Saccharomyces cerevisiae S288C: one gene and its partners. Changing the gene in region 4 together with the main gene of any one other region gives a genetic interaction. Each region holds a gene or a part of one and is shown on either strand. Other genes may lie near its edges.

The links.
Region 1: mutations in NEM1 (region 4) and SYS1 together harm fitness more than expected from each alone (negative genetic interaction), as found in Saccharomyces cerevisiae (4 studies listed by BioGRID).
Region 2: mutations in NEM1 (region 4) and DGK1 together harm fitness less than expected from each alone (positive genetic interaction), as found in Saccharomyces cerevisiae (4 studies listed by BioGRID, with this or other methods).
Region 3: mutations in NEM1 (region 4) and ERV14 together harm fitness more than expected from each alone (negative genetic interaction), as found in Saccharomyces cerevisiae (4 studies listed by BioGRID).

Annotation. Positions count from the first base shown.
Region 1 is NC_001142.9:425,776-434,139, reverse strand, and holds SYS1 (Sys1p), read left to right. Parts: upstream 1-1,939; coding exon 1,940-2,551; downstream 2,552-8,364. Other genes in the region: dolichyl-diphosphooligosaccharide--protein glycotransferase subunit OST1, read left to right, coding at 1-919; COX16 (Cox16p), read right to left, coding at 1,140-1,496; CYR1 (adenylate cyclase), read right to left, coding at 2,903-8,364. UniProt on the Saccharomyces cerevisiae protein: Necessary for the targeting of ARL3 to the Golgi. Involved in protein trafficking. May serve as a receptor for acetylated ARL3.
Region 2 is NC_001147.6:896,007-904,571, forward strand, and holds DGK1 (diacylglycerol kinase), read right to left. Parts: upstream 3,923-8,565; coding exon 3,050-3,922; downstream 1-3,049. Other genes in the region: U4/U6-U5 snRNP complex subunit SNU66, read right to left, coding at 1-381; RNA-processing protein NOP58, read right to left, coding at 819-2,354; 60S ribosomal protein eL20 RPL20B, read right to left, coding at 4,244-4,761, 5,188-5,188; SPS4 (Sps4p), read right to left, coding at 5,852-6,868; YOR314W (uncharacterized protein), read left to right, coding at 7,037-7,366. UniProt on the Saccharomyces cerevisiae protein: CTP-dependent diacylglycerol kinase that catalyzes the phosphorylation of diacylglycerol (DAG) to phosphatidate (PA). Controls phosphatidate levels at the nuclear envelope.
Region 3 is NC_001139.9:400,279-405,187, forward strand, and holds ERV14 (cornichon family protein), read right to left. Parts: upstream 1,010-4,909; coding exon 593-1,009; downstream 1-592. Other genes in the region: pheromone-regulated DUP240 family protein PRM8, read left to right, coding at 2,311-3,024; DUP240 family protein MST27, read left to right, coding at 3,409-4,113. UniProt on the Saccharomyces cerevisiae protein: Could regulate export of the bud site and axial growth sites selection protein AXL2 and possibly other secretory proteins from the endoplasmic reticulum in COPII-coated vesicles. Seems to be required for axial budding pattern in haploid cells.
Region 4 is NC_001140.6:111,254-120,367, reverse strand, and holds NEM1 (Nem1-Spo7 phosphatase catalytic subunit NEM1), read left to right. Parts: upstream 1-7,273; coding exon 7,274-8,614; downstream 8,615-9,114. Other genes in the region: ERG11 (sterol 14-demethylase), read left to right, coding at 1-277; STP2 (Stp2p), read right to left, coding at 929-2,554; protein transporter TIM10, read left to right, coding at 4,467-4,748; GPA1 (guanine nucleotide-binding protein subunit alpha), read left to right, coding at 5,451-6,869; TCD1 (tRNA threonylcarbamoyladenosine dehydratase), read left to right, coding at 9,051-9,114. UniProt on the Saccharomyces cerevisiae protein: Catalytic component of the NEM1-SPO7 complex which acts as a phosphatase and dephosphorylates the phosphatidic acid phosphohydrolase PAH1. Essential for the formation of a spherical nucleus and meiotic division.

The DNA of each region.
Region 1 (8,364 bases), on a different chromosome or scaffold from region 4:
GAAGGCCTCTTTTACGCTGATTGGTAGCTCATCATTTGAGGAGTACCACCCCCCAAATGACGAGAGTTTACTGGGAAAAGCTAATGGAAACTCTTTTGAGTTTGGGCCTTGGGAAGATATTCCGAGATTTTCTTCAAACGAAACCTTAGCAATTGTTTATTCCCACAATGCCCCATTGAATCAGGTAGTGAATTTGAGAAGAGATATTTGGCTTTCTCATTGGGCTTCCACAATACAATTTGAGGAATATTATGAATTAACAAACAAAGCCGCAAAACTGTCTAAAGGATTTTCAAGATTAGAATTAATGAAACAGATTCAAACTCAGAATATGAGACAAACTCACTTTGTTACTGTCTTAGACATGCTCCTGCCTGAGGGAGCTACTGATCATTATTTCACTGATTTGGTTGGCCTTGTTTCCACGTCGCATGCAGAACGTGACCATTTCTTTATAAGACCAAGATTCCCAATCTTTGGAGGTTGGAACTACAATTTTACTGTCGGTTGGACTAATAAATTGTCCGATTTCTTGCATGTATCCTCTGGCTCAGACGAGAAATTCGTTGCTTCTATCCCAATTCTAAACGGCCCACCGGACACTGTATATGATAATGTTGAATTATCGGTATTTCTTCCGGAAGGGGCCGAAATATTCGATATTGATTCTCCAGTCCCTTTTACAAATGTTTCTATAGAAACCCAGAAATCATACTTTGACCTAAATAAAGGTCACGTTAAATTAACTTTCAGTTACAGAAATTTGATTAGTCAAGTTGCCAATGGCCAAGTCTTGATAAAGTACGACTACCCGAAAAGCTCTTTTTTCAAGAAGCCTCTGTCTATTGCTTGCTATATTTTCACCGCACTAATGGGAGTTTTTGTCTTAAAAACTTTGAACATGAACGTAACTAACTGAGTTCACGTTTGAATGATATATACCTTATGATGCAGAGCAATAAATTCAGTATTTAATTTTTTATAAGTTTTATAGATAAGAATTTTCCAATGAATAAAGGTATTTACAATCATTTCCTAGACATTCTCGTGGTCTTTTCTTTGCACAATCAATGGTCATAGTTTTTTTTGTTTAGTAGTTTAAGGACAGAAGAATAACAAAGATGTTCACGTTTTGAATGTTACCAGACATTCTCAGATTCATCCTTTAACCTAGCGACGCGCACAGGCTCCCAATCCTCTTCAGAAAGACCTTGTAAACGATAATATTCTTCTTTAATATCAAATTCCCTTTGATTCTTCCTTATTTTCAAGATATCCTCTTCATTAATTTCCTGAACTTTACGATCGCCTTGCTCGTACTTGATCGCTGTAAAGCTTGACAACCAAAACGAACCCAATACTATTGTTGCACAAAATGGTAAACCAAAAAAAAGAAAGGGGTGCTTACTCAATGCTTTTTTGTATCGCCCCGCTAAAGATGCTTCATATACTAGCTGCTGTCTTCTAGACCTAAATTTTTTTCCGCTGAACGACATTTAGGAGACAAATTCTGGTAATATTTCAGTTGTTGACTAATATATATAGTGGTTTTTGCCAAAATTAAAGACTTCCTTTTATTAACTAGGTGACCAGATATAAGGAAGTGTATTTGCTTTCTAATAACTTGTGTACGGCCATAACCCGGCTTTTAATCAGTTTATTTAACAAGGTATACAAATCGCCAAACGTAACAAGAGATAGGCGCTATTATTCATTTAATATTGTCGTATTCAAAATACTAACGGTGAACAATTTGCTCCATTGTAACACTATAGGACAAGGCTAATCATGAATAAATATCTCCCCACCCAAAATATTCGTAGCTCGCGATATTCACGGTAATATTCTGTAACTTCATGTTAAGAGATGATCTTTAGGAAGGCTAAGGAAGGGTACACATAGAAGTGAGATAAAAAATAGGCATTTGAATTACTGTAACATGGTTTCGATAAGAAGGTATTTGCGAGTGCCGAATGAGTTGAAACCTTCCCAGATCTTCAAACAAGATTCTCTCTCTCCAAGTAAGATTGGACTTCAAATTGTTCTTTTACAGATTTTTTATTACACCACAGCGATCGTTCTTTTTTATTGTTGGGCGAAGCTAGCGGGATATGATCTCAATATCAAGGAATGGCTGTTTTCTTGGGAGAATATCGACTTTACGAACGCATACGGTTTATCAATCTCACTGTTATGGCTTCTGGATTCATTAATATGTGTTTTTTTCTTAACTGTTATCGTTGGACGGAGTAAACTCGCATGGGATTTTGCTATCACTATACATGCCATCAATTTTATTGTGGTGTTCCTCTATACTCGGAAATTTCCTTCTTTTTCTTGGTTTTTTCTTCAAATTTTATCATCTTTAATACTAATATTTTTGGGGACATGGACAACAAGATGGAGAGAGCTTAGAGACACCTTTTTTGAGGGCTTGGTTGATCCTAATGAAGGAGAAGTTGGATTGGTTACGCCTAGTCAGCAGCATAGTAATCATTCAGAATTGGAGCAATCACCAATACAACTAAAAGACTTAGAAAGCCAAATATGAGAGGAGATGAAACAACATATTCGAGGCAATTTTGGCAATATTATAGTCATTCAAGAGAAAACAGTAAATGTATGAAAAATGGCAAGAACCTTATCTCTATAGGCTTAATAAATCTGCCTTTTTGGCCAATTTTTCAAAACAGATCCTATTTCTTATTTATACACAATCTATATTTAACATAATTAAGTACGTGATGACATTGAAGATAATAATAAGTAAAGAGTTTACGTACTTAAATTTTATATAGTTTTAGTATACTTGCAATGTGTGAATGGATCTAGTAAGCTGAGGTACTTCTCTAGCGTGAATATGAAACGAGTAACAGGGTGGTACATAATTTACGAACAGAACTCAAGTTGATAAATCCTTTGCGTTCTTAACCATTTGTAAAAGTTCGTCAACAACATTGAAAATATTGCTTCGAGCAGATGTTTTATCGTTTCTGCAAATTTCCAGTCCTGAACACCTCTGTTGTCGTAAATGTAATAATGCCACACTGGATTCGATTCTAGTAATTACATGATCAAAAAATAACAACGCATCCTTCTCAGAAATCGATTGCATAATACCATTTTCAACTTTAGGGTTAAATTTAATATAACTTCCCTCCGTCCGAGAGTCTAGTTCAATAAATCCGCCGCTTAAAGCTGACATTATAGATTCCAGTCTGTTTGAAATGACTCTTAAACGAAACAACATCGTTTCATTGATTAATTTTGACTGCTCATCTTCAGATGCAAATTCGTGTCTGGAAGCAAGAATCTTAGGATACGCAATAGTAACGAGTTCTTTGGTTTCGAGTCCCTTTAGCTTATGCTCGCCAAAGTCAAAAAATGCCCAACCAATACTTTCCAGCATGGCAATTTCTCTTTCAAGAACCTCTCCGATAATTTCTTCACCATAAACTTCCTTGAGAGATTCCTTGCCCTTCACTACTCGCTCATGATACTTCATTATCTTGTTGAATTCAGAGTAAAAATCACTACTCATTGCAATCTGACCACCGTCAGCGACGCCCTGGACCCTTGCTGCCTTATTGACCATCGGCCCCAAATAGTCCATTCTTTGAGTCACTAAATCAAGCTCTGGAACTGGGCAGCCCCAATGAATACCCATTCTAACTGATAGGCCTTGATAGATAATGTTACCATTTCTATCCGTAACTTGGCAGCCGTCTTGAACTGAGGTAATTTCCTCCGGCCATTGTGCATCCAAGAGTTTTAATTGAACACTTAAGCACCATGTCAGACCACTAGTTGGCGTAGGAAATGCCACCATAAAGGCGTCTCCTTCTGTCTTTACTTCGTAACCACCGTAAATTCGTAGTTGACGACGCATAATGTCATTGTGAGTTTTTATTGCGGTCCTCATTGCGTTAGGGAATAGCTCCCATAAGAAGGTTGAGCTTTTGATATCAGTGAAGACCATTGCTAGGTTACCTGTTGGCGGAGAAATCTCAGGTTGAAGTCTTCTTAATGTAGTATCCTCGAAAGTACTTCTTCTAGTCATTAAAGAGTTTTTATTTAAAGTGAACCGATTTTGTTGCTGAATGTTCTCGTAAAGAGCAAGGCACAAAATTGTAATATTCTCTGTACAGCCGTAAGCCATGGCATGATCCTTCAACTCAGCTGCGGCACGGAGTGGATCAGTACTATTCTCACGCGCGATATCACAAACTGTATCCACGTCCATGTATTCCCATAACTTATGCGTTGCTACAATAAGCATCTCGTCTGCTTTTGTTAATGTCACGACAGATATGTCGGGAGAAGCATGAATGTGGGGAAGCAAATCAAAAAAACCCACTGCTCTAGACACATCTACAACACCATCTAATTTTCCATTGTTGACATACCCGCCAGATATTCTGATCCTCTCGTATTCTTCCCGCTTTGTTGGGAGATGTTGTTTGGTTAGCGTTTGGTAGTCACCATTGTTTTTGGATAAAATAGCCATACAGTCACCTAAATTTGCAGCGAAGAGTTTCTTCCCTCTGATATATATCACAGTAGAGCAAGCGCCACTTAGCAAGTCTGCATATGAAAGATTGGCAACATCGGCACCATTATCAACAGAATTTAGCATTCCGTTAATCTCCTTATTCAGTTGCAAAAAACTGAAACGAAGTGCAGTTTTTATATTATCATCTGTTTCGTCTCCATACCTTTCCAGTTGTCTGATCAGTATTTTATCGTAAATATCTCTAACAATTCTTGATATATTGTGGCCATAATCTGCATTTTGGTTTTTACTATCATGAAGACATAGTAAGCATTCGTCGTCATTTCCGCGGAATCTTTCAAAGGTAACATCACGAGATGACACATAGTCTCTTTGACCTAATGTATCAGCAACACCGTAGCGCATCCCATTTATTATTGATGCAGTTGTCCTTAAACGGAAATTGACATTTTCATCCGGTACTTTGGTAGTATTTAAAGTTACGTCCATTAAACCTAGTACCTTTAACTGAGGTAATACTGTCAGATCTGACAAATCAGCATCAATATCGTGACTTATAAATGACTTTATTTCAAACCTTCGATTTCCTGAAAAATTCAAATATTTTAGTTCTTTATTATTCCTCCAGTTCCAATCGTAATGATAGTTTGATATATTATACTTTAATTGATTTGCTCCAACATCAAATACACTTAGCTGTGAGAGATTTGATAATTCTGCAGGCAGAGATAACATTTGGTTACTATTCAACATTAAAGTCTTTAAAGAGCTCCATTTCAAAACTGTATCACCCGACAATGTCGTGAGCTTATTACCGGAGAGGTACAATTCGGTAATGCTCTCAAGTTTCATGTGCGATACATCTGAAAAATTGTTGTAAGAAAGATTTAGCACTTTCAGATTGACAAAGCAATTGAAAAGAGGCCACATAGCATCATCAAATTGATTGTCTGCAGCAATAAAAAACATCAGGCTTTTAGATAACTTTGACCCATATGACATGTTATGGTAAAAAGAATTTTCTAAGCTAGAGTTACCGAATGCATTCGATGAAATATTTAGCGATGTTAGTTCAAGGTTTTCCATACCGTCAACAAAGTCCCTTATGTTGTTAGAATGTAGATCTAATGTCCTCAAACTTTTCAGTTGAGATAGCTCGGGTGGAATATACTCTAGTTTGTTTCTCGCCACTGAAAGGAAAACTAATTTAGTCAACTTGGATATCTCCTGTGGCAGTCTAGTCAAATTATTCTGATTAAGTTCAAGTTTCTCGAGGAAAGATAGTTTGGTGAGTAATTCTCCAGGAATACTCGATAACTGTGCCTTGTTCAACGTCAAACTTGTCATGTTTTTTGGATAAAAATCTTTGAAGGATATAGAAGTGATTGGATTCTCTTGAATTTCAAGGGCTCTTAGTTTCGGCAAAGTGTCTTCAAAGTTCGAAATTCTATTATCTGTTAAAAAAAGGTTCTGCAAGTTAGACGCATTTGTCTTAATTGATGATATTCTGTTATATCTTAGGTTCAGCGTCCTCAAATCTGTCATTTCCGATAAGTCGCCTATAAAATTTAGTTTGTTATGAGAAAGGTTCATCTTCGCAAGCTTTACTAGGTACTTAGTGGACTGTGGTAAGCTTTGGATTTTATTATATGATAGGTCTATTTGTAAAAGATTGGTGCAGTAGTTAATAACTTCTGGGTAGTGCATGAACTTGTTTGAAGACAAGTCTAGCAATTGCAGATTTTTCAGTTCAACAAATCCAGCCGGTAGGCTTTCAAGCTCATTACATTGAAGGTTTAATATCGTTAAATTACTCAGTTTCATGATTGAGTTCGGTACTTTTCTTATGAAGTTTCTCTGTAATTCCAAAGATACTAGTTTATACGCCTTAGTGATATTGGAAGGAAATTTAGATGCTCTAATATTAACCATTCTCAAACTTAATAATTTAATCGAGCTTTCAATGAACTCCAGAGGTAGGAATATATTTGCGTTATTAGAAACGTCTAAACTTTCTATTTCTGACGTATGCTGGTAAAAAATGATGGGAGGTGTAGTCAGATCCATATTCCTTAAATCTACGTGAACAAATTCGCTTCTCATTATTCTTTGTTCTTGTTCAGGAGTAAAGTGAGAAGGTGTGACAGGATGGAAAAGAAACTTAAAAACAAAACTTAAATCCTCTATACCCATAATATGAAGTGGGTCTGACTTTCGATAACCATTCAAAAGTAAAAGTTTTCTTTCAATTAAAATAGGTTTCGAAGTTGGTCTCAAAATTTTTGACAACTTTCCCACCTTCAGGGAAATTTGAAAATTCCCTTGCGCTGTAATGTTAAATTTTCTTTTAAGTGCAGGTATTATCTCTTCGACGGTAGTCGCTGGAGTACATGAGAGAGTCGTAAAAGTGTCATCAGTATTGAATATACGAATAGCATAGTGCCTCTTTGGATCTAAATCACTGAAATCTTTATAGTAATGTTCCAGTTGGCACTCGACCTCATCGTCCTTCTCATCTTGTAGTAATAATCCAGAACTCTGGGCACCATCTGGTGAATTCATATTTACCGAAGAGGATGTAAATTTCTTGGTATACGATTTCGTTTTATTCAGGATCGGTGTTTTATTATCCTGCTCTCGGTTGGCCTCCATATACGCGTTAGTGTACGAAGAGGAATCGCTGCAGGAAGATGTATCTTCTGAACTAATAGATGAGGACGGTAAAGATGAGGAAGTGGAAGACGTGTCGTAGTCCCCATCTAAATTTGATGGAGCATATCGTATACTTGGGGGACTCATAGCCAAATTACTTTTTAAGCGGTTCACAGATTTAGTATCGAGTGCGGTCTTGCTATCATTCGGAACGTTTTCTTTACATATATCAACAAAACTTGAGTTACTGTCACCCGCAGTGACCATTGATTCGTTATCCTTTCGATCGTGATGATGACGAGAGTCTTTTTTTGAAGGTGGCCCCGGTGACATGGGATCAAGTTCATCAGCATCTATACTTGACCTTCTTGATTTCGATCTCCCTTTAGGTTTTGTTTTTTTCCTTTTGGTTTCCACATCCCAGCTTTGAGGTGCTACCCATTGTGATCTATCATTGGAAGTTGATGTGAATTCACCATTAGGTGCTGCGGCAGCGACGGAGAGATCAGCCATTGACACCGACTTCCTAGGACCTTCAGGCATGATCACCGTTTTGGGTGAGGCAGTCTCAGTCCCGTGTGTAGAATTTAGTGTAGAATTGACAGCGGTGGGTGGCACCGTCTTTGTAATATCAGTAACATCCTCAAGGTTTGTATCTAGCCTGAAAAGGGATGGTTTACATGAAATGGGTGTTTCTATAGTAGGCGTTGTGGCTTCGCGTTTGTTGTCAGAGTTAGAATTTTCCGGAATGTTCTCATTATATTCTGGAGTCACTTTCTCGGATTTATTATTAGTGTGATCGGCGGATTCGCTGTTAACGCTGTCCTTACTTTTAGTAGTTGGAGAAACATTAGATACGTTATGTTGGAGAACATGACTACCCGACGTCGCCATACTTGCACTGTCACTGTTAGTCATTGAACTGACATTTGAACCTCTTCTACTGCTTGAAGAAGATGTGGAGCCTAGCAGAAAGCTTTTTCTGTGCGAGCGTTTGCTATTGGGAACATCGGATGAATGTAATGTATTTTCTGATTGCGCAACAGCCTTTGGTCTAATCTGTTTATCTGCAATACCATTATTTATATCATGGACGGAAGAACCACGTACCAATGAGGACACTTTCCTTCGTAAAGTGCTTGGCACGTTATCAGCCAAGTGATTAGATAAAGTGGAGTCTTTAGAAGGTTTCCTATTAG
Region 2 (8,565 bases), on a different chromosome or scaffold from region 4:
TGTGCTGGAACGTTTGGATTCATGTGAGGAAGGAATTGCATCCATGTTTTCTAGCCATGAACTGTCGTCATTTACATTAGTTTCTTCGAGAAGGTGCGCCATTCGTAAAGGAGCGTTCGCCTTTTTTTGAAACTTTGTTATCTTCTCTCGAAGTTCATCGATTTTGGATGTGTTATGTACATTAGGGGGAGAAGAATTGAAATTTTGTTGGGGTGGGATAAGTTTTAGGCCAAGGGACGCCCTCAACTCATTCGTCTCTTCGATTGACAAAGACTCTTTATGGTCTGTATTCTTTTCTTGAAAAACTGGAATAGGTTTCATACCCAGCTTTTCCCTTATTTCATTTGTCTCCTCAATAGAAAGGTTTTCCGTTTTGTTCATAAATTAATTAAGGGTTGATGTGATGATTGCCTTTTTATTAATATCAAATAGTAACGATTGCACCATCTCATCCTTTGCTCACTTTCAAAAATTTTGTATATCTTTTTCGTCCCGCGAATAATTTTAAGTTGCGCAGTTCACGATATGAATACCTATAACTGCTAATGGTACAAATTTTTTAAAGGTTAAACAAAACTTTTAATGATATAAAGTACCTAAAACTATGTAAACATAAATTATGTATACTATTTCAAATATATCACCTAAAAAAAATAATAAGTTCAATTCAATATGGGCGTACAGCACTAATTTACAGATTATGGAATAAAATATGAAATGAGAAATAGGTTAAGCATTGGATAATTATAGAAAATTTTCTAAATCCAAATAAAAGGGAACGCGAGGGGTCACTAATTATTAAAATGTAAAATGCATCCTTATTTCTTCTCTTTCTTCTCTTTCTTGGACTTCTTTTCCTTCTTCTCTTTCTTCTCTTTCTTCTCCTTCTTTTCCTTCTTTTCCTTCTTTTCCTTCTTGTCCTTCTTTTCCTTCTTAGCTTTTTTAGAATCCTTGGAATCTTCATCATCGTCTCTCTTTCTCTTCTTTTCTTTCTTTTCTTTCTTTTCTTCCTCTTCATCATCAGAATCGGATTCAGAATCAGAAGCAGCCTTTGCGGTATCAGCATCTGCATTGTAGGCCCTAGCTTCAGTCATTTCCACCTTCTTAGCCTCACGAACAACCTTTGGAGTAGTTCTTAAATCTCTACCTTCTAATTGGGATAATCTATTTTCTACTTTGGCTCTTGATTCTAGACCAATGTCACCTGAATCGTCTCTATCTTCAGCTAAAGCATCATAACGCAATGAGACAGCGGCCTTAGCAGCCAGAACTCTTGCAATCTTACCTTTGTTCTTACCAGTAGCTTGACCAACAAGAGAGGCATGATATAGCAAACCATACTTTGGTGTATCATGCTTGGTCTTTAAAGCTCTGAATAAAGCCTTTTCGGCACCTAATATTTGGATGGTAGAAGCTGGTGATTTGGCCAAGGAAATTAAGGAACCTGAATGAGCGATAAGTCTAGCACCAACTAATTCACCAACCAACTGAGTCAAGTTTGGAGCAATAGCCTTCATTCTTGCAGACAAGTAATTGGACAACTGTTCTCTGTAAGCGGCAAATTCGACTATTTGTTCAGCTAAAGCATTAATGTTGTCTAGATCGGTTTGAGTGATTTCAGTACCCATAGACACTTCAGCAGCGGTTTTGACACGTTCTTCAATCTCTTCTGGTAAGATTTCACTCAAATCTGTTTCAGAAGCCTTGGATCTGATACCCATTGTTAGAATAATTCTCGCATAAGCGACGGAATCAGTAACAATCTTAGCTAACTCAGGAAAGTGCCACCCGTACCATTCTTTACATCTCATGGCATATGTGTTTAATTCTTTATCTAAATCATCCAATAAAGCAATTGCTTGAATAATCATAACATCAACTTTGTCAGCAGAAAATTTTAATTTGTGACGACCGATGGAATGAGCTAAACCCAAAGACATCTTGCTTAGATCATTATCAGACATACCTGGCAGCAATTCTGGCAAATATTCTTTGATAGCTCTATAGATATCTAAGGTTACAGCATCGGAAACAACATTGAAGTTCAATCCCAACTTATTAATAGCGTTTGCCAGTTTAGTTTCACTAACAATCAAGGTCGACTTCTTGTCCTTTTTAATTTCTTCCAGAAGTTTTTCTAATTGGGAAGAAACTTTACCTTCAATAATGGAGTTGGCTTCCTCTAAAGCGTTAGCTGCAGAGTTGAACTTGGAAAAGGCGGCGATCTTGAATTCCTTCAAGACTTTGTCAGAGCTATCCAAGTCTTGAATTAAGCTTGAAGATTTGTAGATTTTCTTATCGGAAGCTTTTAAAAGAGCATAACCAGCTGAAGTTTCAGTTAAAACGTAAGCCATTGTATGAGGAGGTTGAGGTTCTACAGCTAATTTGGTATCGACTGCTATTTCAAAAATAACTTATATGCGAAATTTTTGCGAAAGCATAAATAATTCTTGCTTTTCTGAAAATTTTCGATGAGGTTGAAAAATTTTCCAAATTTCTTTTTTTCTGTTCTAACGTACACAATGATATCAATATCAATAAGGCCACTGGGCGGTAATCGCAGATAAACCATATATCCTTGAGATGCCAAGATAAATGAACGCTGGTTCAGGATCTTGGTAATCGTATTTCGCAGGATTGTTCTTTTTTATTGTTCTCTGATATGATTGCTTTGTGACAAAGTTGGGGCATGAAAAAGCCTTTTTTTACTGATGAAAATATGGTGTAGGTTTACGATTAAATAATAATGTTGCGCCCCATTTGGATGCGCTTGTTGGCACATATATTAGTAACATAAATGTTTTCATAAAACTGCTTGTGTCGAATGTTTCTAATGGCGTGAAAAATACGGAAATACTGCTGAATAATTTACACAGGTTCTAACTCTATACTCGGATATGTAGGATATTTAGAAAAATAATTTGTGGATGCCAAAGATCGAAGAGGTGCTGGATCGTTAACCACAGATAAACTGAATCGCGCACTCCAGTTACTGTAAAAAAGACTTACCGAAGAATATAAAACACTCCTGTTTTTGGTATATATGCTTTTATTTCTTGAATGTTTTGATTACTGCGTTCATAAAAAGTGATGACAGGACAGGAATAGTGAAATTATCATCCCAGTTGAACAAATCTATACCTTCACTCAAAGCAGCTACCACACCACCTAACAAGGATAGCATATTCAAACTTAATCTGCTTGTTTCTGGGCTCCATTGGATCTCGCCAGGTTTGTTGACGTAGCTGTAGGCAGGAACAAAATAGCCATAAAATACCCAGCAGGTGATAACACCAACTGTAAACGCAGCTATCGAACCTGCAAGGGATTTATTTCTTGCCACTTTGGGTGTTAAATGACCATACTTTCTTCCAATAGTTGCGGCGGCTGTATCGGACCAACTTAGCAAAAATAACGATATTAAGGTAACATCTTTAGAGAAAAAGTTAAAAGAAAAGATTAACCCAAGAATGTACCACAATACCCCATTGTATGTATGAATCTCCTTTTTTCTCATTAGCGCACCCACAGTTCTACAGTAAAGCATATTGAAAAAGGGCCAGTTTAGTCTTATCAGATCCAAAATAAACAATATGATGAAGGCGTATATCAAAGGCCATAAAACATTTTTATAATTAATACCCTGCGTATACAGGTACAAAGTAATAAAGCCAATGGAAGAATGGAACACCTTACGGGGAATTTCATGTTTAGTTATAAAATCGCCGAACCATTCATGAGATTTCAAATGTATTTCTGTCACTGGAACGTGTGCATCGTCATCGCTACTACTAATTTCTTCTTTTGCTGGAATCGTTACTTTCGCCGAGACTTGATGACTCTTAGATGATAGTCTTTGCTTAGCTTCGGTACGCGGCTCTAGCGTGCTATTTGGAAGGGCAATGGCATCTTCGGTCCCCATATTGTCTGTAAACCCTGTATGAATCCAAATGACAGAAATGCGTAGATATCTGTTTACGTAATGTTCAACTGCTCTACGACAACACCGCTCAGGATTTTTATAATTACGCTACGTTTTATATTTATCGCAGAAAAACCAATAATTTGTTACCCGCTATGGACCCTGGATTTTGTAAAGATACATGGCATGACATTGTGCTTTCACGCTGGTAGTGCATAATGTAAGAGAAGAAACAGGATATATTTTAAAATTTCCTTGAATCTACAAAATGAATTATACAAAATTTTATTATACTAAAAAACGTAGAAATATCTTGTTGGCTTAGTAGAAGGTTGATGGTCTCTTGTAAGAGAAAGTCTTGGTAGATTTTTGGACTCTGTGAGGTAATGGGAATTTTAAATCCTTGGTCAAGAATTGCTTGACGTATTGTCTCTTGACATCAGCAGTCTTTTCAATTTCAGCAACCTTCAAGATGTGAATAGATCTAAATCTAGCTCTGTGTCTAGCAGCCATGTCTTGGTATAAGGTTTCGACGGCAGCAACTCTGGATACGTCTCTGATTTCCTTGTACATGTTGTGAGTACCAGATCTGGAATCGTATCTAACCCAAACACCGAAGTTCTTGACCTTGGTTGGGTGAGCTTCGTTGATTTGGTTGATGGAAACAATTTCACCAGAAGCCTTCTTAACCTTGTGCAATTTTTGCAAGAAATACCAGTAACGAGACTTGGCGATGACTTCATTTGAAGCAAAAATTCTCATTCTGAACAACTTTGGTTCTGGAACGGATTCAGTTGGTAAACGACGACCAATGACTTGGTATTCTTTGAAATGAGCCACTGTTAAAGATAAAAATCAAAAAAGAATTTATTCTTGTTAGTAAACTTGCATATTTCAAAAATATTGCTTTATTGCAGACAATTACATGTAAATGAATGTTTCAAAATAGATCTCTGATTCAGTTAATTTCCTCTATAATTCCTGGATGGTAGTTCTATAGTCCTCATGTGAAGACTTCTCAAATGATATTAACCATATCATCAGTATTAAATGGTACACCGCCTTCCTTCTAGAAGCAATTTATGGTAATAATCGTATTCAGTATTCGGCGTATTTCAGGAAAAACATTCACAGGTTGCATTGACTTATTGGGTATTCTTCAGTATTTTAAATTTCCACGATATGTTCATTCAATTTGAGCTCACCATATAAAATAGCTACATTGACATTCATTCCACAAGCATACAATACATTCTATTACATACTTTTTCTTTGCTTGATTCCTTTGTTACGGTTCTCTTCTATTATCTTCTGCAAAAATAATGCCCTCAAAAACGGTTATATCTATCTATTAGAGTTACTTCTTCGTACTGTTGCCAACTCGAGCGGAAAGAAATTAGACAGAATCTGGCGGAAAATTGAGAAAGAGCTAGACAGACTATGCGGAACAACTTGGAATCTGCCTCTGTCCGTGTGGCCTGGCCCTGGCCTGGGAAGTAACTGTCTAGGCCGCGGACATTTTTCTCTTCGGTAGTAAGCCGCCCTACTGGTCATGGGGTTACCTGAAAGAGATAAAAATTCAAAGATAGCATCGCGCCGTCGGAAACGTAAAATGTACGGGTGAACAGTCCCGAAAACCGTATTTATTGTTTTGGGGAAGAGCTTGTTTACTTCGTGCCTACAAACAATCAGCACCTTAAGATATGACAGAATAGCTTGCTATTTGATTTTTTTTTTATCTAGCTTGTAAATATTTATTAAGCCTTTCCTTACAAAAAAATATATTTTCTTTTACCTCTTTTTTATGTTGAGCGTGTATACATTGGTAAATTTAAGTTCAGTGCTTTCAATAGATAACACCTATTGAATTTGCGCCAGTAGGTACAAATTGAAATTCTCGCCTATATTAAAATTATTTTCTATGCGAACTTATTGTACTAGATGTGGTAAATCTCCTCCCTCAGATTTGTTGCCAAAAAATCTAAACAAACTTCTATCGGTGACAGAGGCCCAAATTTCGCGTTCTAAATCAGTTATGGTATCCCAAGTACCTCTCAATACATTTTTCATTTTTAAATCGGCCTGTTTGTCTAAGTTTTTATTATAAACAGAGTTTGTATGATATCCATAGGCAATGGGAAGCTTTGCAATACCAACAACTTGATGACTAACTGCAGAAACTGCTCTTGTCATAAAATTGTATTCTAAAGCTAGCCCCCTATTAAACTCACAAGAAAAGGAATCATTTGGAACTTTCTTACCTTTGGGCAAATACTTTACCGTTACCTTTTCGAATGTATTATTGACTGGTAACAAAACAGGGTCAAGTTGCCCCCTTATCAAAGGCTTGCCCTTTGTGTCTATGAATTTTTCATTATAGTACTTCCTAAATTTCATCAACCTTCCATGGACAGGTTGGTAAACATAGTTGTCTCCATTTCTTGCTGTCGTATCCCTGAGCTGCTTTCCATACTTTTTCGACAAAGTATACGGAAGTGCAATTTCCTCACCTAATCTTTTATAAGTTTTTGTTTTCAAAGAAGGGACAACGCGCTCTACTGTACTTAAAGTCGAATTGGCCATCTTGTCAAAAAAATTGACCACTGGTGCTACGGCTTGAACGGGACGTGACACTACCACTTTATCGATTCTAGGCTTTGTTTGTGCTAAAATAATTCTCGTTAGAGCAATCTTCTTTGCAATCTCTTCTGTTTCTTGCACTATTGGATAAGTTTCTATGTGATCAACTGTTTTCAAATTTAATCTACCCCTCCTAGCTGCATGTTCATTTGCACTGAGATTACTGTTTTCGGTAAAATTTTCTGTAACTGCTTCTTGTGTCTGCGATTGTTCCATTTCATTGGGTTCATTCGTGTTTTTGTGTAAAAAATTCTTATTTTCTTCTTGTGGTTTTGTAACCTTCACTATATTCAAATTTGATGGCATGTTTGTTGAAATATGTTATGTGAAACCAATGTAGCAAAAACAATTTTTTATGTTCTTGTTGCTTGCCTCTCAAAAATAACAAAGGAAGAAATTTTGTCGAAAGTGTAGTAGAAGGAGGTAAAAAGTGAACACTTCTTAGCAATTTATAGTTCCAAAATTTATGAATTAATGACAATGATACGTTTTTGTGGCGCGCGTCAATCGGCGATAATCAGCAACGCGTCTGACGCTGCTGCAGGAACCAACAAAAAAAGGATACTAAACCCTCTTGAGTCCTTGTGTCTTAACGACCGCATAGACGAACACCGTTGCAAAGAAGTCCAGTTATCTTCATTACGAAGTCTATTGTATGCTATGATTTTAAATAGAACCATAGGCAGCGAGACCGGCGTTTTTTCTTTTCTGCTCTTTTCTTTTCGTTACTTCGGAGAGGAAAGAGACTTATTTTACTGCTTCTTCTCCGTCTTTTTACTTAACATTACATATTTATTGGATTAGAACTTTTGTATAGGGGTAAACAATACTGAGGATATTCATAACTATCTTTTTTAGGTCTCCTTGGCTCTTTTAAGTAGAACAAAAAAATCTAGGACAGTTGCTTTGCCTTTTCAATGTCAGTTAAAAAAATAATGGAAACGTTAGTTCCCACCCAGAAAGACAACAAAAAAGTGTTTTCTTTTCGAAGTATTCCAAGATTTCGTTGTCATGGCATATCGGTACAATCTTTTGGTTGGAATGAATAAAATCAGTTATCGTCCCACCAATGGGAATAGAGCATATAATGTTATCTCAGGACAGCAGTGATGTCCAAGAAAGTAACTACGAGAGTTTTACTATACTACATATTATAAGGACAAATAGTTGCATAGCAACAAGCTTGGGGGATAAACATCAAGAGAATGCATTGAGTTACTACGCAGGCCTTAAAGTAAGGCGATTCCACGGCAGTAATTAGTTTAGATAACAACTTACTCTACTGCGAGCTCTTCTTAAAAGACGTGTCCTTTTAAGATTCAGAAGCATTTTCTTGGGTAGGGGTTTTTTGCGTTACTCTGTTTTTTGAGATCGTAATTCGACACATAAAACTCTCAGCTAGCCCACCCTTTGGGCAAGTTATACCTTTCTACTTTCGTCCAATCCATACATCGCCCAATTAGGATAAAAGTAAATAACATATTCGAGTTTTGTAAATATCCGAAAGGGGAAGACAAGGAAATATCTAGGCACCAAATCCCTTTTTGGAAATGCGAACCACGGGAATATGCAAAAAAAAAAAGAAAACAATCCCGCTTTTTCAAGATTTCAGGCCGATTTTGAGATTAAAGTTTGACAGCCTCAGTCTTAAAAACAAAACAGTATGACAGAACGATTCAAAGAAACTACGGACAAAGGATTTATGCTAAACTGGTCACGCCGTTATAGACAGCAGTAATGCATGGAAAATCCCATGGCTATTCTAATCGGGTTTAAACTTTTTTTTTTCAGCTGCGAATATCTCTTAGTGCAAATTGGTAAACAAGAGAGCTCACAACACACTAAATACGTTGTGTAACGATACATAGCCTTGCTTAGGTAAACGACAGATGCATGCCCATTTCGATAGGAAAATCTTGAATTTTAAGCCCGTTACCGTAAATGTCATTCGATACTGTTTACAGTTTAGTTTTAAAGCGGTAACATTCTTGTTAATTTAAAAT
Region 3 (4,909 bases), on a different chromosome or scaffold from region 4:
CTTTTTTTTTCTCTTATTACGATTTACCTTTTTTATTTATTTTTTTCATTTTAGTATTTTATTCTTCGTTATTTATGTATAGAAATTTTCATTTTCATTTAGATTCAGATTTGGTTATCTTTTTTCATTATATATCTTTTGCACTAAGTTTCAACTTAAGTTCTATTTTTTATTTTTTTTTTCTGGGCCCTGGAGCAATAGATATGGGATGGCTTACTGCATCTCTTCAAAATTTCACAGTCATGCTCACCCTTAAGTTCTCAACCTTTTAGTTTTTTTTTTTTTTTTTTTTTATTTTGTATGGCATACTAACTATACAAATATTTATATGTACATTTATACAGTAACCTATTATTTACCGATATTCACCGGTATTTTACTTTAATAGATGCTGGTAATAACGAAAAAAATTGATAACTCCCACCGACAATTGAGAAAAAAAGCAAAAAAGGAAAAAAGGGAAGCACGAATTAATACATTCTGTGTATTTATCTTTTTTATCTTCAGTTTTCCTCCAATCTATGGGCGGCCATTAAGTATGTCTATTATTCTTGGCCCTTCAGTCTTCTTTGGATTTCAATGTCTTGTTGGATTAGAAGTCATCACCACTTTCAGCAATCAAAGCCATGATCATTCTGTACAAGTAGAAGAAGAACATCAATAAGTGGAAACCTAACTTTAGGAAACTCTCCCTTTTATGTTTGCCTAAAGTTCTGAATATTTCGGTAGCATCCAAAAGTTGAACTTTATTGTAGATCTTGTTTAGATTGTAAGCTAGAACTGGTAAGTTCAATAAAAATACAAACCAGTAACCGTTCAGTAAGAATAGTAATGACAAAGCACCATGCAAGGCGGCTTCAGGGGTAATTAACTTGTTAACTTTAGAACATAATTCAATTGGATTGATATAGTCAGCTTCTAAATCAGCGTATAGTATTGTGAAATGCACTTGGCCAAACAAATTGATACAGTTGACAACAACAGCAAGGATAAATAACCAAGCACCCATTTTTCTTTTTATTCTTAATTTTTTTACTTTACTTTAATTGCAGTTCAAAGGTAAATGTCTTTGTTAAGTAGGCAGTGAGACATAATAATATGAGAAAAATCCAGGTCTCTCCTTCGTATTAAGGAATACATGATCTAGCTATCACTCTTAAATCTTTCTCCTTCCTTGTTTTTTCTCCGAAATGAAGAAAAAAAATTTTCTTCACGGAACTAACGTGAAAAAAAACTTTCAAAAAAATACTCCGATACGGGGAGTCGAACCCCGGTCTCCACGGTGAAAGCGTGATGTGATAGCCGTTACACTATATCGGAAACAAATTAACTGAAAATGTTGTATCTCAAAATGAGATATGTCAGTATGACAATACGTCATCCTAAACGTTCATACAACACATATGAAACAACCTTATATCAAAACGAACAACATGAGATAAAACCCGGCCTTCCCTAGCTGAACTACCCAAAAGTATAAATGCCTGAACAATTAGTTTAGATCCGAGATTCCGCGCTTCCACCACTTAGTATGATTCATATTTTATATAATATATAAGATAAGTAACATTCCGTGAATTAATCTGATAAACTGTTTTGACAACTGGTTACTTACCATATATATTATTGAGAAATGGGTGGATTTTGAGATAAATGTGAGAAATGGGTGAATGTTGAGATTGTTGGAATAAAAATCCACTATCGTCTATCAACTAATAGTTATATTATCAATATATTATCATATACGGTGTTAAGATGATGACATAAGTTATGAGAAGCTGTCATCGATGTTAGAGGAAGCTGAAGTGCAAGGATTGATAATGTAATAGGATAATGAAACATATAAAACGGAATGAGGAATAATCGTGATATTAGTATGTAGAAATATAGATTCCATTTTGAGGATTCCTATATCCTCGAGGAGAACTTCTAGTATATTAGGTATACCTAATATTATAGCCTTTATCAACAATGGAATCCCAACAATTATCTCAAAATTCCCCCAATTCTCAACATCCGACTGCCATGCAATGTGCTTTTCTGGATCTCACTCATGATCATAATGGCCCTGTAAAAGGCTCGTACTGTTATTATCATATCTTCAATTACGTATTATTTCGGAGGCTGTACCTATTAGTGAAATAACGCCTCTAAAAATGAAAAGAAGAAAAAGAATATGAAAGGGGTTCTGAATTGCTAAAATATTTCGTCAAAGCTCAATTAGTATCAAGATCAAGTCGTAATTCGAATCAGCATAACAACCTCCAAAACCATATAATAACCTTACACAAGACAAGATATCAATTCAACATGCAAACCCCTTCAGAAAATACCAACGCCAAGTCGGATTCTCTCGACGAACCCGGTGCATATTTAATCGAGGAAAATGTGGCTCTTCCTAAGGACATATTCCATTCGTACTTGAGTTATTGGATATATGAAGCAGCTCACTGTACACCGGTCATGCTTTTGTCTCTAGTAATTGGGGTTTTAATCTCAATAATTATTCTTTTTCATGATAACGAAAATTGCGTTGGGGTTTCTGTAGGGTTTCTCCTCATATTCTCTGGCATTTTAGTGATAGTTCTAATACTCAGGTTTGGACCACAGATCAGTGATGAAGATTTCAAATGTAAGCTACTGATGGAAATTATCACACGGAAACCTACGGTAAAGGGGAAAGAATGGAGGACAATTACATACAAGATGAACCAGTATTTATTTGATAACGATTTATGGAACACTCCCTACTACTTTTACCGTGATGAAGATTGCCACCGTTATTTTCTAAGTCTTATTAAGGGAAGAACTTTCAAGAAGCAAAAGGAATCGTCAGCCAGCAATGTTAAAGACGCACAATCAAATGACGAAACCGCTGGCACACCAAACGAAGCCGCTGAGTCTTCTAGTTTTAGTGCCGGACCGAACTTTATAAAGCTCCTCACCAAGGCAGCCGAAATCGAACAACAATTTCAAAAGGAATATTGGCGACAAGAGTATCCTGGTGTCGATGAGTTTTTTTAGACAGAAGACGGGAGACACTAGCACACAACTTGACAAAGGATCTACTTCTCGATTGACGACACTAGTAGGTGTCAAATTTAGTGTCATTTATGATTTTTTGTAATAGGATATAAATATATACGGCGCTCCAAATAATGCAGTTGCCCCAAAAACACCACGGAACCTCATCTGTTCTCGTACTTTGTTGTGACAAAGTAGCTCACTGCCTTATTACCACATTTTCATTATACATCACTTCGCAAAATGCAATATTGAAAATGCCTCTAGAGATGAAAAACAATCGTGAAAAGGGTCCTGCGTTATTAAAACATTTGATCAGTATGCAATGGCACAGAGACAATCAGGAATACTATAGTCATAGACGATACAAGGTATATATTGGTCATGCAGACCCCTCTAGAAAGTACCGACGTCAAGTTAGATACACTCAACGAACCTAGTGCACATTTAATTGAGAAAAATGTGGCTCTTCCTAAGGACATATTCCGTTCGTACTTGAGTTATTGGATCTATGAAATCGCTCGCTATACACCAGTCATGATTTTGTCCCTGGTAATAGGGGTTTTGGTTTTATTAATTATATTTTTTAATGACAACGAAGCTTGTGTTTTCAATTCTGCATACTACGCTTATCTTTCTCTTGTAGTATTGTTAATAATATTAGGTGATGGTAATCCAAAGCTAGTCAGTCGTCGAAATTTTAGGACCGAGCTTTTAGTGGATGTCATCACACGTAAACCGGCAGTAGAAGGGAAAGAATGGAGGATCATCACATACAACATGAACCAATATTTGTTTAATCATGGGCAATGGCATACTCCGTATTACTTTTACAGCGATGAGGATTGCTACCGTTATTTTCTACGCCTTGTTGAGGGAGTAACCCCCAAGAAGCAAACAGCCACGTCAATTGGCAATTCTCCGGTCACCGCTAAGCCTGAAGATGCCATCGAGTCAGCTTCTCCTAGTTCCAGACTGAATTATCGAAACTTTTTGCTCAAGGCAGCGGAGATCGAACGACAAGCTCAGGAAAATTACTGGCGAAGGCGGCATCCCAATATCGATGCGCTTCTTAAAAAGACGGAATAGCTTAGAGACACTGCCATACGTAAAGCGAACATAAACTAGAGTATGATATATAATCAGCACTAACTGGCCCGAAAACGGCCGAAGAAGCCTCGAAAAGTCGATTCGTGTTGGACCCATTTGCTGAACGAAGTGTTCATTGCCTACCTATTATGGTAGTAGTCGTGATAATCGTGTGGTTGGTTTTGTCAACGGTGCATTTGCATTTTCATGACAATAAGCCTTGCGTTTTCGTTCTCGGGATATTACTTTCCCCCCACTTCTTTCGCCTCGATAGCTCCTATAAGCATTCTCAGGGCGTATGTCGGTGATCGAGATTTCCAAGCAAGCTTTTAGTGGAAATCATCGCGCGCAAGCCAGCGGTAAAGGGAAAAGAACGGAGGACGATTACATACAAGATGAACGAATAAATAAATTAATAATAAATAATAATAGAAAGTACAGTAGCATTAAATATTATTAAGTTTAATGATTAAAAATTGGTTAATTGTCAAGAAAATCTAAGGTATTAATAAATAAATAATACTATGACAACTTGCAGCGAAACGATCAGCCCCAATGAAAATTAATCAGAATTGAATTTGAGCGTATCTATTTGATAACGGTTTACGTAACTGTTGGAATAAAAATCAACTATCATCTACTAACTAGTGTTTACGTTACTAGTATATAATCATATACGGTGTTAGAAGATGACGGCAAATGATGAGAAATAGTCATCGTTTTCAATGGAAGCTGAAATACAAGGATTGATAATTGTTGGAATAAAAATCAACTATCATCTACTAACTAGTATTTA
Region 4 (9,114 bases):
TTCCGTCGGTGAAGAAGTCGATTACGGTTTCGGTGCCATTTCTAAGGGTGTCAGCTCTCCATACTTACCTTTCGGTGGTGGTAGACACAGATGTATCGGTGAACACTTTGCTTACTGTCAGCTAGGTGTTCTAATGTCCATTTTTATCAGAACATTAAAATGGCATTACCCAGAGGGTAAGACCGTTCCACCTCCTGACTTTACATCTATGGTTACTCTTCCAACCGGTCCAGCCAAGATCATCTGGGAAAAGAGAAATCCAGAACAAAAGATCTAAGGTTTGTAACTGAGAAAAAAAAAAAAAACAGAAAAAGAGAGAAGTTGTACATTCACGTGGGCCTTATCGCCACACTCATCCATCTCCAATGATTTATTTTATTTGCCAGTACGTTTGATATGACATCGAGTTATGTTCTTTAGTTACTTTCAAACTTGGACAACCATCCCGCATTATTTATGAGTGGTATGGTTTCACTTCTTTATTTATAAATATTTATACTACGAAATTATATATAGATTACATTTCTAAAACAACATCAAATATAAGGTTTATTTATGCAACATGCCTACTGGATTAGAAGAGAGAACACACAGCTCACAGGCCAAGCGGAAATAAAGCAGTCTTTTCGCAAACTTGTAAATCTTTTTGCAATTTAAATTAATCAAGAGAGGGCCCAGGAGGAGAGGAGTTTTGGGGAGGGGTCACTGAGGAAGCTCTCTTAAATATGGATTCACTGAAATAAATGTATATAAGATTCATTACTGCTTTTTATAGTGATAAATCCAAATGATGAGTGAATTGAACCATCCTTAGTATCCATTGTTTTATAAAGCACCGCTAAAAATAATATATTGCTACAAAAATGATATAATAATAATATTACGTAAAATACCTGAAACCGCCATAAAAATAATACCTGAATTAACCTTAAAATTCTATCCCATAAGCTTTTTTGTAAAGGGCCAGATAATCTTGAGTCTCCTTCAAATGATTCTCACCCAGAAGTTCAAAGTCCATTTGCTTCTGTAACATCTCATTAATGGAAATCATATTGCTTTCCTTTGACTGATTGATTGCGTCCTCCTCGGTTTTGTCTGGCTCCAACAACGATTGCTCTGAATCCAATGGGTATGACTTATTTGTTTCTGTAGTTGTTATTGGATCGCCTGAAAGTGGAGATAGCGCTGAGGAGGCAGAGGATAATGCTGGAGAATCCATATGCAATGTGTATCTTGATGATTGATACTCTTGTGGTACAGAAGATGCATTTTGGGGTGACAAAATTGGGGGAGATATTATTGACCACTCTTTGAGATTTTGGACTTCTGTAGGTCCTCTTGATTGTGTAGTTTGTGTAGGTCTTGATATTTGTTTGCGTTCAAACCATTGAGTGCCTATTCCAAAATCGTTTTTTTCGGTTTTGGTTGGTATGATCTTGTCATTAGGGCGTTCCTTGGACTGCATTACTGTCGCTTCTATACAATTCTTATTTTGTAAAGCTGGTTCGGAAACACTTTCGTCGGATGAGATGAACCTTGTTTGGCCATCCGAAGTCTTTATCATTTTCATTTTAGACGTCTTTTTCTTCTCTCGTATTCCCTCTGAATAGCCTTCTGGTAAACCTTTGCAACTCCCAGCCTCAATGTGGTTTTCCACCCAGCTCTCACTAGTGCTAAAGTGTTCCCCACATTGAGTGCACACTCCAGGTGATTTATTACGGTCCTGAGGCTTAACACCTTCTGGGTAAGTGAAATGTCTAGATTTCAAATGTGTTTTGTAGGTATCTCTTCTGCTAAACCCCCCAGAAGTATGGCATCGCAATTCTTGCGAAATGCTATTATCAAAAAATGGACAGTGATAGGCCTTCCTTTTCGCATGCTTTTTTATGTGTCGTGTTAAGTAACCTCTGATTCGGAACCTAGCATCGCAATAGTGACATATATATGGTAAAGTTTCGGATGACTCATCAGCAATTCCTTGAACCTCATCGGATAGGGGAGATTCATCAATACTTTTCTTCGATGCAGGAGTGATTACGCTACTTACGGGCGTGATTGGAAGGAAATTAGAGGGGAAAAGAGCTTTGTACTGGTCATTATTGATATAGGATTCCTCTAGCGGGGGAGAACTTATCAAGTCATTCTGTAACTTTGCTGGCTCGCCGCGGCTAGGGCCCCGTAAAATCGGTTCGTCCAAGTTCAACTGTGTAGTGACTGCACCATTATTATCAATTTTAATTGAGAAAGGTGTTTCTAGGTTATCCAAATTTAAAGCACAGGGTACAACTGAAGATTTTGATGTTAGACTCAATTGTTTGTTGTTCTGTTTGGGAAATAATTCGCTCACGTCAACCAGATCGTCCTTTTCGGTAGCACAGCAGTCTTTCTGTGGATGGTTCTGTTTCGCAGGTTCTAACTTTTCGAAAGGAGTACTTTTCGAAGATTTGTCGTCTTCCACATTGGGCACAATCACTTGCTGCACTAATGCTTTAAGGTAGTCATATATCCTTGTTAACACGCTGTTCCGTGTTGAAGATAGTGATAAGATAGGCATGATAATGGATTTCCTTACTTCCCCAACTTTTTGCTCTCTTGCATTTGTCTGTTTGTCGGATGATTAATCACTGTTTTTCATTTATTAATCATCGTTTTTCTCGCTTTTTGCCCGTATTGGAATGTGAAGAGAAAAAAAAAATGATAAGAATTCTAAAAAAAGATACTCTTCGTTCGAATGGATGACTCTAAGAAGGGTAACAGACTTTCAATCTTCAAATAACATTATAATCTCTATTCTAGCCCTTAGAGGAGCATGTCATGCGTTCAGAACCTCCATTAATAGCTTACTTTATAACTTTCTATCAGTCACAAGTTAAACGTCGACAATTTTTGTGGGAAATGGTCTGTTTTTTTTCTTCAGTTAATAAATCTCGTTCTTGACTGCAGGTAATTAATGGTATCGTGATCGTTACCTATGCTTACACACTATAAGAATTTTCTTCGTGAGAATTGGCCCATTTCTCTGGTTCTTCTGAAGAGAGTTTTGCTGACCATCAATCAGCTTTACGAAAATTTACCGCCCAATTTCTTGCCAAAATGCCATCCATATTCCCATTCATTGGAATTCTTTCACTATTTTATCATTTCAATGTTCTTTGTAGCAACAGGCTCTTCTTTTTCACGCTTACTGTGATCATTTGTTATAAGTGCTGGTATTTTCTCTCTTCTGGAATTCCGTGCTATTGATATCACGACATGTGCGCTTCTCATGATTTTGCCGCCCAAGGCACATTTTGCCGTCTGTTTTTAACCTAATATTTATGTCGCGGGTATATTATCATATATTGCGTAAGAGGATGGTATTGCTGATGGGAAGTGGTCAACAAATTCAATAGGCACTGAAATGTAAGGGCTGACAATGTAATTGGATAAAGAAAGGCAACACATGAAAGGAAGAAAAAAAAAACGTTATTTATTATTATGTAAAACTATTGACCTCACCTTTGTGATTCACGCTGTCCTCGTGAAAAAACTTTTTTTGTTTTTGTAGACCTAATAAAAGAACCTTTTTTAACAATGTCCTAACAATAATTTCAACAGTTGCCAAACCTCAAATAGTGTTGGAATAAAAATCCACTATCGTCTATCAACTAATAGTTATATTATCAATATATTATCATATACGGTGTTAAGATGATGACATAAGTTATGAGAAGCTGTCATCGATGTTAGAGGAAGCTGAAGTGCAAGGATTGATAATGTAATAGGATAATGAAACATATAAAACGGAATGAGGAATAATCGTGATATTAGTAAATAGAAATATAGATTCCATTTTGAGGATTCCTATATCCTCGAGGAGAACTTCTAGTATATTCTGTATACCTAATATTATAGCCTTTATCAAAAATGGAATCCCAACAATTATCTCAACATTCACCCATTTCTCAAATAGTATGTTTTGGTGTTAAAGAAGAACATTGGAAACAAAGGAAAGGTAAGCATTAGCCCGGAAACAAAACAAGAGGAAGTAATATACACCTTTTTGGTTAACTTGTTCGTTCAGAAGAGCCCAAGTATGTAATTATTTTTTGCAAATCTTTCCTCAGTAACGATAACGACACGAAGGTAATATTTTAAAACATTTATCAACAAGTCACTAAATATAATCTGGGTCCTATCACTATTAGAGCTTCTATGGCCAAGTTGGTAAGGCGCCACACTAGTAATGTGGAGATCATCGGTTCAAATCCGATTGGAAGCATTTTTTGCATTGATTTCCCAATTCGTAGCTGATGATCACCCTCTGAAGCTATCGGACATTTTTTTTCTTTAATTTTTTCAGCGAGAGAGCTGGCAGTGAACGTACAAGAGCAAGCTCTCTAAAGAACTATTACTCTCCTCGTTCCCCTCTCATGTCTTTTAACAGATAAACAAGCAAAAGAAGGAACTATCATACTTAGAAAAACATGTCTTTCTTAGGTTTCGGTGGTGGTCAGCCTCAATTATCATCTCAACAAAAGATTCAAGCTGCGGAAGCTGAACTAGATTTGGTCACAGACATGTTCAATAAATTGGTTAATAACTGTTATAAAAAATGTATCAATACTTCTTATTCCGAGGGTGAGCTGAATAAGAATGAATCTTCGTGCCTAGACAGATGTGTGGCCAAATATTTTGAGACCAATGTTCAAGTCGGTGAAAACATGCAGAAAATGGGCCAATCATTTAACGCAGCCGGTAAGTTTTAGAAATGTGCATTAAAGCAGTAATGATAAGACGAAAATAAGAAAAGAAATCCATAAGCTGTTTTACTCGACTCAACGTTATAATTAGTATTATTGATTCATATCCTGTATATACAAGTAACATTATACTCTTTTCTGTACTTCATCTTTACCTTTTTATCTTACATGGCACATGTTGTTTGAAAACAAGATCATAGGTGGATAAAGCAAGCCGAATCTAAAAAAAAAAAAATGTCTCTATTGGAAAACTGAATGCATAACGATATTCCCTTTTCATGCAGATAACACTGACTAGTTTCAATTTGAAACGCATCTTCGTGTTATTTCACCGAAACGCACTCGGCTCAGCATGTTAAAAAGCACATCAATTTAGGGCTCTGCGCGTCCTTCTGCGTATTCTTCCTTGTAGAAATGCAATTAAATGGAGAGCAGAAATTTTTTTGTTACATATTGTTTTCCTTAAAGGGAAATATTAAAAAATAGTCTAAAATGAAGAGGATAGTAGAATTCCACCAATTTCTTTACGTTTTATATTATTCGTAATCTTTTGATCTGTTATTCATTTTTTCTTGTCACTCCGTTTCTAACATTTTTGACCATTTCTAAGACCAAACTGAGTAGAAGCTATTCATACTGTAAATTGGTATTTTAGCATCACATCAATAATCCAGAGGTGTATAAATTGATATATTAAGGTAGGAAATAATGGGGTGTACAGTGAGTACGCAAACAATAGGAGACGAAAGTGATCCTTTTCTACAGAACAAAAGAGCCAATGATGTCATCGAGCAATCGTTGCAGCTGGAGAAACAACGTGACAAGAATGAAATAAAACTGTTACTATTAGGTGCCGGTGAGTCAGGTAAATCAACGGTTTTAAAACAATTAAAATTATTACATCAAGGCGGTTTCTCCCATCAAGAAAGGTTACAGTATGCTCAAGTGATATGGGCAGATGCCATACAATCAATGAAAATTTTGATTATTCAGGCCAGAAAACTAGGTATTCAACTTGACTGTGATGATCCGATCAACAATAAAGATTTGTTTGCATGCAAGAGAATACTGCTAAAGGCTAAAGCTTTAGATTATATCAACGCCAGTGTTGCCGGTGGTTCTGATTTTCTAAATGATTATGTACTGAAGTACTCAGAAAGGTATGAAACTAGGAGGCGTGTTCAGAGTACCGGACGAGCAAAAGCTGCTTTCGATGAAGACGGAAATATTTCTAATGTCAAAAGTGACACTGACAGAGATGCTGAAACGGTGACGCAAAATGAGGATGCTGATAGAAACAACAGTAGTAGAATTAACCTACAGGATATTTGCAAGGACTTGAACCAAGAAGGCGATGACCAGATGTTTGTTAGAAAAACATCAAGGGAAATTCAAGGACAAAATAGACGAAATCTTATTCACGAAGACATTGCTAAGGCAATAAAGCAACTTTGGAATAACGACAAAGGTATAAAGCAGTGTTTTGCACGTTCTAATGAGTTTCAATTGGAGGGCTCAGCTGCATACTACTTTGATAACATTGAGAAATTTGCTAGTCCGAATTATGTCTGTACGGATGAAGACATTTTGAAGGGCCGTATAAAGACTACAGGCATTACAGAAACCGAATTTAACATCGGCTCGTCCAAATTCAAGGTTCTCGACGCTGGTGGGCAGCGTTCTGAACGTAAGAAGTGGATTCATTGTTTCGAAGGAATTACAGCAGTTTTATTTGTTTTAGCAATGAGTGAATACGACCAGATGTTGTTTGAGGATGAAAGAGTGAACAGAATGCATGAATCAATAATGCTATTTGACACGTTATTGAACTCTAAGTGGTTCAAAGATACACCGTTTATTTTGTTTTTAAATAAAATTGATTTGTTCGAGGAAAAGGTAAAAAGCATGCCCATAAGAAAGTACTTTCCTGATTACCAGGGACGTGTCGGCGATGCAGAAGCGGGTCTAAAATATTTTGAGAAGATATTTTTGAGCTTGAATAAGACAAACAAACCAATCTACGTGAAACGAACCTGCGCTACCGATACCCAAACTATGAAGTTCGTATTGAGTGCAGTCACCGATCTAATCATCCAGCAAAACCTTAAAAAAATTGGTATTATATGAAGGAACTGTATAATTAAAGTAGTGTTTAGATACGTAAATTCTGTTTCCGAAGATGCAAGAAGGAGCAGCAGCACCAGAAAAAATTACTATTTTTCTTCTCCATTAGAGTCTATGATGGAATGCCAAATGAAAAAGCCATTTTGTTCAACAGTTCTTGATCTCGTTAAATCGTTCCGGGTTTTCAATTGAAAAACAAGGGTAATAAAATCGCATGAGAAAAAAAAGGTCCAGACACTTTTTTAGAAGAAAAACTCTTGAAAACAATTGATTCTTCTACGTAAGGACAGGGTATTATCTCGAATTCTTCTCCCTGGTAAATACTCGGGATATATAGAACCTATTTTGCATCCTATTCTCACTTTTCTTTATTGTTGTTAATTTCTGGACATTGTTTCATTAATTGAATGAATGCCCTAAAATATTTCTCAAATCATTTAATAACTACAAAGAAACAAAAAAAAATCAATGTTGAGGTGACAAAGAATCAAGATCTACTAGGCCCTTCAAAGGAAGTTTCGAACAAATATACTAGCCACAGCGAAAATGATTGCGTTAGTGAGGTGGACCAACAGTACGACCACTCCTCAAGCCACTTAAAAGAATCTGATCAAAATCAAGAGCGCAAAAATTCTGTTCCTAAAAAACCAAAAGCTTTACGTTCCATCCTAATAGAGAAAATAGCGTCAATTTTGTGGGCACTACTACTTTTTCTTCCGTATTATCTGATAATCAAGCCCTTGATGTCTTTATGGTTTGTTTTTACCTTCCCACTAAGTGTCATCGAGCGTCGTGTAAAACACACCGATAAGAGAAACAGGGGTTCAAATGCTAGTGAGAATGAGCTGCCTGTCAGTTCAAGCAATATTAACGATTCTAGCGAGAAAACAAATCCTAAAAATTGCAATCTAAATACGATTCCCGAGGCAGTTGAGGATGACTTAAATGCCAGTGATGAGATAATTCTACAAAGGGATAATGTTAAAGGCTCATTACTTAGAGCTCAATCTGTCAAATCAAGGCCAAGAAGTTATTCCAAATCAGAACTATCACTTTCTAATCATTCAAGTTCTAATACCGTATTTGGTACAAAACGAATGGGAAGGTTCTTATTTCCAAAGAAGCTGATACCTAAATCCGTGCTTAACACACAAAAGAAAAAGAAACTGGTTATAGATCTCGATGAGACCTTAATTCACTCGGCTTCTCGAAGTACAACGCATAGTAATTCTTCTCAGGGTCACTTGGTGGAAGTGAAGTTTGGATTGAGCGGAATTCGTACACTATACTTTATTCACAAGAGGCCTTACTGTGATTTATTTTTGACAAAAGTTAGCAAATGGTACGACCTTATCATTTTTACAGCATCCATGAAAGAATACGCTGATCCTGTGATAGATTGGTTAGAAAGCTCCTTCCCATCCAGTTTTTCAAAAAGATATTACCGTTCTGATTGCGTTCTAAGGGATGGTGTTGGATACATTAAAGATTTGAGCATTGTCAAGGACTCCGAAGAAAACGGGAAAGGCAGCTCCTCTTCTTTGGATGATGTCATTATTATAGATAACAGCCCGGTAAGTTACGCAATGAATGTAGATAACGCTATTCAAGTAGAAGGATGGATAAGTGATCCAACTGATACGGACTTACTGAACCTGTTACCTTTCTTGGAGGCTATGAGGTATTCAACAGATGTCAGGAATATACTGGCATTGAAACATGGAGAGAAGGCATTCAACATAAACTGACAATTGTTATTGTGTCCTTCCAAAAAAGATGAGAATTTTAGGTGATAAATCGCCTATCCATTGCTGCTCATTTAATGGAAAGGTTATTGCATTCAGGGAAAAAAGTAACGGGAGAAAAAAGAGAAAAGACCTCTTTTTTGTTTTCTACATACGAGCATATTAATTATTTAGCAGGAAGATATACTTGATCTAAACAGTATATATATATATATATATATATATAGGTTGGGAATTAATCTTGAAATTTTTTTAGTCTTACGTTATCTTCAGCAGTGACACGCTAAATGCCCGTATCTTACTTTACATTTTGCTGTCAGGTTTTTTGATTTCTTTTTCATATTTTATGCAGTAGCGAAAAGAGACAAGACTATGAAAAAATTTTCTAGCGTTAGTAAAGTATTAATACTGCAATTAGTTAGGATAGCAGAACGAACAAATGGCAAATAATACGTGGAAGTTAATTGCTACTACAGCTCTTATATCGGTGTTTTCAACCCAAC